2 linked regions of the Oryzias latipes genome follow. The protein of the gene in region 2 interacts with the protein of the main gene of each other region in a pairwise test. Links are inferred from orthologs where the notes say so. Each region holds a gene or a part of one and is shown on either strand. Other genes may lie near its edges.

What was found.
Region 1: the proteins of kat5 (region 2) and gapdh interact in binary tests that used the Homo sapiens proteins (3 or more experiments, as listed by UniProt). The link is inferred for Oryzias latipes from reciprocal best matches to the Homo sapiens genes KAT5 and GAPDH.

Annotation. Positions count from the first base shown.
Region 1 is NC_019874.2:20,246,180-20,249,932, forward strand, and holds the start of gapdh (glyceraldehyde-3-phosphate dehydrogenase), read left to right. Parts: upstream 1-1,438; 5' UTR 1,439-1,521; intron 1,522-1,817; 5' UTR 1,818-1,843; coding exon 1,844-1,866; intron 1,867-2,878; coding exon 2,879-2,978; intron 2,979-3,060; coding exon 3,061-3,167; intron 3,168-3,249; coding exon 3,250-3,340; intron 3,341-3,438; coding exon 3,439-3,554; intron 3,555-3,635; coding exon 3,636-3,717; intron 3,718-3,753. UniProt on the Homo sapiens protein: Has both glyceraldehyde-3-phosphate dehydrogenase and nitrosylase activities, thereby playing a role in glycolysis and nuclear functions, respectively.
Region 2 is NC_019872.2:15,162,098-15,165,850, forward strand, and holds the start of kat5 (histone acetyltransferase KAT5), read right to left. Parts: upstream 2,745-3,753; 5' UTR 2,646-2,744; coding exon 2,625-2,645; intron 2,545-2,624; coding exon 2,478-2,544; intron 1,834-2,477; coding exon 1,765-1,833; intron 1,553-1,764; coding exon 1,401-1,552; intron 1-1,400. UniProt on the Homo sapiens protein: Catalytic subunit of the NuA4 histone acetyltransferase complex, a multiprotein complex involved in transcriptional activation of select genes principally by acetylation of nucleosomal histones H2A and H4.

The DNA of each region.
Region 1 (3,753 bases), on a different chromosome or scaffold from region 2:
GAAAGCAAAATGTAGAAAATAAGTGTTTCTTGCTGCAACACAAGATGGCAGTATGAGTTTGTTTGTTCCTAGCTATTATTGCACATCTCTGCAGGCTGGACTTTGTACCAGACAGAACACAAGTTGCACAAATGTACCTAAAAGCACCTTTTTACATGAACGCAATCACAAAGTCCCGTCTTTACAGCTTAGAAGTTTACCACTGATGTTTCTGCAGATGTTTGTAGCGAGTCAGTATGAACACAGAGGACTAACGAGTCCAATTTATGTCATGAAATGTTTCCATGTTTTTCTCTAAAATCAATGCATCAGTTTCGTTCCGACTCAAACGTCGAGGTGCTTGAACTGTTGTGAAACAGACAAAAGAAGATCACCACGAGGCAGCACTTGCAGCACTGAGTATATCATGGATCATGAGTTTGACTCGCTGCAATCTAATCTTAGCTTGACCTTTGCGTCCCTTCTTTGACCTTAAGCTGTAAAGCGGCGGCTGGGACTGGCATGCTTGCACTCGGAGGGGTTGTGATAGTTCAGCTATGCCAGGACCACTGGACGTCTGCCACCAAACCCGCCGTTGCTGCTCAGCTTCAGAGCAGAGAACCGTCTCTGCAGCCTGCTGAAACATGCAGAGGAAATCTAAGCGAGCGTTTGTCGGGTCTGGTCTGCTTGTGCAACACGTGGGGAAAATCTAACACCGTAATCTTGGGAGATCTTTTCTTTCTGATGTCAACATTGTTGACAGAACAGGGAGTCAAAAATAGACTTCGGAAGGCAGCTGGCATGCCTGAGCCTTGTTGTGTTTTGAGACTGGTGAAGAAAGCAAAGATTATTAATCTCTAAAAGATAAAATGTGCTCTTGCAGATTCCTTAGCTGCAGCACTTTCAAGATAAAGTTTTACTATAGAGCCGTTTCCAAATGTCCACACAAAAGTCACAGTTCAGGTGAGCAAACTGACTCCGACAAGTTCCTCTGCACGACTCAAGTTGAGCAACTGAGTTTCAACTTTTGACTTGAGCTGAGGGGATAAAACGGCAGAAAAAGAGGCACGGCAACAGAACCATTCAAGTGAAGGGTCATGGTCTTTGAACATTAAATGTCAGCGTCACTAAGCCAGAGATTTGATCCCCCATTTGCTCTCTCCATGTGTCTGCATTCAGTGAGAAGGTCAGCAGGGACCCCTCTCTTTTTTCAGCTGGAGGATCTAAATCAGGACCTCCAAATGCTTCAGACTAAACTGACAGCACATATTTTGAATTAGAATAAATGCTCTAAAGAGTTAGGACTGTAATTAAAAGTTAAATATGAAGAAGAATTGAAAGGAGCTTGACAAAAATGGGATTTCAGAGCCTGTGTCTGAGCAGCTAACGACCTTGACATTCACAGGGGGCGGGGTGAGGATCGGTGACCATTAAGGGGTGTGGCTTTGTCCTGAGGGGGCCATCATAAATACTCCCAACCAAACTTTGCTCTTCCCCACTCACACCCGGAGTCGCAAGACAGACAGAAGCGTCTCACAAACGGTAAAGGCTTCAGCTGTTTCTGGCAGCATGACTCTTTCATTGAAATCACCTGGAGACAATTGATGCAAAACAGTCACTTTGCTTTGTTTCTGCTTGATTGAAGCTGTTTAGAAAGTTGTAAAGTGTCATGGAGAAGTTGCAGCAATCAAAGTGATCCAAAAAAAAAGGACTTGCATGAATGTTTGAGGCCTTCTGCTCATCTTTCTGCCCAAATGATGTGTGATTTTAAAAAAAATATTTGTTGCATAGATTTCTAAAGGATGTTTTTTTTAAATTGTTATTCTTTAATCTCACAGAGGACTAAAGATCAACCCAGGCTAAAATGGTGAAAGTTGGTATCAATGGGTAAGAGCTTTTTCTCAACACTTCAAGCTCACAATGCCACATTGTTCTTGATGCACTTCAAATATTTCCTTTTTAATCATTTTATTTTTTTAATACATTCCTGGAGTGGTTTTGCAAAACGTTCCCTGAATTGTTTGATTTCTTAAAATAAGGATCTCTTAATGAAACTCTGAATGTTCAGACTAACTTTAGCAGAGTTCCAAGAAACCTTGAGGACACTTGATTTAAAGAACAAGCTCTGGTTTACTAAAGAGTTTTTAATTTTCCCTGGCGATCAAGACGTACATGGAGCTGAAGCAATTGGCATCCAATTTGAAGGTGGTGTGCAACATCTGAAGCAACAAGTGTCCCCTGATGCATTTGAACAAACCTTTGCGCCATCTGGATGTTTTTTGTTTTCTCTCAATCTCTGAACTTTGGCCTTTTGGTAGAAAACTTTGAGTTTGTTTCACCCCTTCAACTGGACAGACGTTTTCTTCTACTCTTGGAATTGAGTAGAAATGAAGCTGAATATCTCATTGGATATTGAACTATCACAATCCTGAATCTTTAGTGTTATCTGCCAGTCCTGCTGGCCTCTGTTTTAGACCAGGTTTTCAGGACTGTGGTTAAAAAGTAACCCGACCATTGATCAAACCGCAGCTGTGGCGTCATCAGGATTAACACACTGGCGGTTCTTCTGACTTTTGCCCCCAGAAAGGGGCGTGTGAGCATTTGAGCGGCATGCAGCCCCTCCTCATGAGCTCTGCCCTTTATCTGACTGCAGATTCATGTCTCCTGGGATGTTATGCATAAGCCAACGTGAAGGAAGGAAACAAAATGGGGTTCTTTCAGTGAACCGCGTTTGCTCGGGTTCACCTGAAAGTCAGCACTAGCGTCCCTTACTGAATGATTTCAGGTTATTAGGCATTGGCCCCTTTATGTCACTGCCACTCAGACATAACTGCACAGATTAGATGGCCTCAGGACGCCATCTAGAGGCCAGACTGATACTTGTCCTTCCACATTTCAGTTTTGGCCGTATCGGCCGTCTGGTGACCCGAGCTGCTTTCACCTCTAAAAAGGTGGAGATTGTGGCCATCAATGACCCGTTCATTGACCTGGACTACATGGTGAGTGAAAGACATTAAGTCTTAAATTAAATGGGGGGGGGGGGGGGGGGAGATCTTGTATTCAAGTTATTTTTGTTTTAAGGTCTACATGTTCAAGTATGACTCCACCCACAACCGCTTCAAGGGTGAGGTCAAGGCTGAGGGAGGCAAACTAGTCATTGATGGACACCAGATCACCGTCTTCCATGAGTGAGTTAATGTGCCAGTATTTAATAATCAGTGATTACTTTTTAGGACGACTAAAAGAAAGTGATTGGATTTTTCTTTGCAGGAGGGACCCTACTAACATTAAATGGGGTGAGGCCGGTGCCCAGTATGTTGTGGAGTCCACCGGTGTGTTTACTACCATTGAGAAGGCCTCTGTATGTATGCTCCCCTCTGGATATCATGATTTTTATTTATTTATTTATTTTTGGATCAAGCAAATGCGGAATAATCCTCTTTAAATCCCAAAATGCAGGCTCACTTGAAGGGCGGTGCCAAGAGAGTTATCATCTCTGCACCCAGCGCAGATGCCCCCATGTTCGTCATGGGAGTCAACCACGAGAAGTACGACAACTCTCTCACGGTTGTCAGGTAAGATGACTTTTAATCTACAAAAGGACCGTCCATTTTTGGATCTTACAGCTCTGACGCCAATGTTTCTGCTTTTCAAAGCAATGCGTCCTGCACAACAAACTGTCTGGCCCCCTTGGCCAAAGTCGTCCACGACAACTTCGGCATTGTTGAGGGCCTGATGGTGAGAGCAGACGCTCCATTAAACGATTTTTGCTGC
Region 2 (3,753 bases):
CACTGCTTCAGCAGTTTAATAACTTATTCAGGAAATAAAACAGTAAAGAATATTAAAATATGTTCTTTTTTAGGCACAGCATTTACATGAATAAATTATAAAATATTATAGTAATTAACATGAATATTGCAGAGTGCTGTGCTGTTGCATTTTGCCCCGTCAGCCCCAACATCTGTTTGCTACTCCTTGTGCTCTCAGACAGACAACTTTGACCAAACTGAGTCTCAGTTTTAGGGATAGCTCTCCGGTGCCACCATACTTTGGTTCTAGAAAATAAGTCTGAAACATGGACTGAAACATGAATCCTCACTGTTATGCAGTCACCTCACAGAGCACAGTTTGAAGAGAAAGCAGACAGCGCAGTGATTTAGGTAATTTAGAGACAACCCCCCCCTGAAATTATAATAACATTAAACTTTAACTGGCAAAATTTCAAACTTTAAAGAGAGTCCACAGCTCAAATAAAGTGTGAGGGTTGAGTTTTAAGGAGAGAGTCAATATCAACTCTACGGGGCGTTATTTATCCATTTAATTATGAGAACTATTCATTTTTTTAAGTAACAATTGATTCAACAATATCATTTTATTCCAATTTTAGTTATATTTGTATCAGAGGCATCTTGAGTAAAGCATCAAATAAATCTTGAACATTTGCTTTGTTGAATTTGATTTTTAACCATTTTGTTTCTCTGCTTTGAAGCTAAAGGAAGAATTCTAATCTACTTAAGTTTATAGCCTGTGTCATTTAGAAGAGAAACAGGGCAGCAACTATTGTCAATGCATGCTGTTCAAGAAGGATTTTGTCTGCAAAACACCTAACCCAAATATGTTGCAGATGACCGACATTGCTGAGTGTCGACATAAACCTGGTCTGTCTGTTTTTCATCAGACAGAATGAGCAGGAGACTGCAGAAGCTGCTTTACCAACTGACTTACAAAAAACCCAGAGATGCCATTCATGCTTTTGCCGTTCATGCTTTTGTTGTGATTGTGTGTGGCCCTTGAAATAGTGAGCAAAGACACATTTTCAAAAGAAAACCAGACTTAACAGCATACAGACAAAACTTTCCAACTATATATAACTATATATATACACTATATATATGTAGTGCTTGACAACACTCATAAAACAGAAACAGATTATGATAAAAAAAAAAAAGGTCCTAAAAACAAGCCTGGCAAGTATGCAAGTATGTTTTGTTTTTGTGACTGGAAAAAAAACCTGTAGATTCAATTTTTTATCAAAAAAAAACTCAACTTCAATAAGATGGAAACTAAGCAGTCAATGAAAATAGTCTTTCACAACCAACTGTTTTCCAACAGTACTGTTGGGGAACTGCCGTAAACATTTAAATGTAGTTTACTAATGCTTTATTATGAATCTTCAAGGGTAAACTTACTGGTACTACTTCTCTTTCTGCTCTTTCTGGTGAGCTAGGACGCGAGCCTGACAGTCCATTCTTTGTGGGTGTTTTTGCTTCTTTTTTGGGAAACTGGAGCTTCTTCATGTCCAGCCTGTCTGCTGTGACCCATTCATCCAAGCGCTTGTTGACTGCAGACACACACAATTTTACATTACCAACTAAAAGACCAACTGTTATGAAAAGATTATTTTTTTCCGTCCATATGAAACACGACCGAAACTAGAACGTTCTTTATGTGTTTGGAATCACTTTTGTTTTTTCTGAAACAATGACATGAATGAAAAGTCTAAGCTTTCTTTAATGATAGTGAAACAGGAAAGATGAACTTTGCTTTACTCACAGTCAATGTAGTGAACATAGAACAGCTTTCTTCCAGAAACCTCCTTCAAACTCAGGATCTCAGCCAAAGCTGCACAAGTAGAAAAGAAATTATAAATACTATTTACAAAGTAAACACACAGCTATTTTATCTTAATTCAAGTGGAAAATGAACATTCACAGTTATAATTAGTGCAAGAGTGGTTTTGCTTTTTAGCGCCAAGATAAAAATGGGTATTGCTTACTTTAATCACACTGATGATGTGTAACAAAGCTAGTACTTTGATTTAAATAGCTTGGAACTACCTCAGGAATTCAACAAACTAGATGAACTTATGCTCTTTTAAGAAAAAACATTGTCATCTTTAACTTCAGCTCTCATGTCTACATGATGAACTGTACTGGACAGCAGTGAATTATCACAATTTATACAATCCTTGCGTATGAAACTCAACCTTTTTTTAAATTCGTAATTTAAAATGTAGGGCTTTTGAAAAGCAAAATGTAATTCAGACTTATCTAAATTTCTAGTGTTTAAACATTGCGACTAAATGATTTCCAGCCCAAAAACACAAATAAAGAAGTAACAAAGCAATTTAGACCTAAACGAACAGTTTCTACCATAGCAGTCACTGCATTTTATCTGAATTTGTTTTTAAGGTTTTTTTGAAGGCCGTCATATTTGTTTGTTAGTTAGCATTAGCTTAGCTCTAAGCACGAACGAAAAGTACTTACGCCACTCATCCTCATGTTCCTGGTTTTTACGAAGAACGGGGAGGCGACAGCCTTCCACAATTTCGACCTGTTGATAAAACAGCAGATGTTAGTATCCAATAGTAGCTGTTATTTTTAAAAACAATAATATACGTTTCCATAACCTACCGAAGAACAGTTGTCCGCCATTTTCGTCGTTGGTGTAAGCTGCTGCAGTGTGTTGTGGGAAAATGCCGGTCCACATCAAAGACGTAAAACGCAGTGAGACTGAGCATGCGTCGCTAAGCGGAAGTTATGGAGCCAACCCGGAAATTTTTTTTTTTTTTTTTTTATTGATGCAGAACAAAAGTGACATACAGCAAAAGAACAAGGAACAATAAGCTGTACATCAAATGTTCAAAATAAACGCCAGGGGATATGCAAGCAAAAAAATAAACTTACACTAAATTATACAGCTGAGCAAGGTGATACGTTTTAATAGCTTTTTTGTTTGTACTGGGGGAAATGGAATGTAAGTAACATCTAACTTGGGCTAGTAAATCAAGAAAATTAGGAGCTTTATTGCTGAATTTAGATTTGTGAATATAATACTTGGTTAATAAAATTAGAAGATTTATTAAATAAAATTGAGATAAAAATGTCTTATCATAATTAATGTAACCAAATAAGATGTTTTTCCAGGTTAAATTAAAATGTGGATAAATTTGAGTTTTTATCAAATTTGTCATTTTGTCCCATATTTTTTCAGTGTACTTGCAGGTCCAAAAAATATGCACCAACGTTTCCTCAGACTGAGAACAGAAAAAACAGTTTTTATCAATATCCCTTTTTAGCCTTTGCATATACTGATTTGTTGGATAAAACCTATGAATGATCTTGAATGAAACCTCTTTCACTTTGTTGTTTAGAAGATATTTGTTTGGCAGAAGCCAAACCTTTTCCCAACACATTTGACCATGAAGTGAAGTCCAGAAAGTTATGGCCGGGGATTCAGTTTTGAGCTCCTGCTGGAACAGTCTTCGGATGGTTTTGTTTTGATTTCTCAAAGCAGAGAAGCAGAGTTTTCCGACAGCAGTGTCTGTCACATGAAGCTGTGGTTGGGGAGCAGATGGAGTAGGAGTTCCTTTATAAAGATAGGTGAGGTTGAGGGAAACGGCATCAAAAACAACCGAAAAGTCCTTCATAGAAACAGGGATCTGGTAGAACTGAAGGAATTCGGTGTAAGTGTAAAGTTGACCTTGTTGATTGAATAATTGACTAACTAGTCTGATATTATTATCAAACCACTGTTGGATAA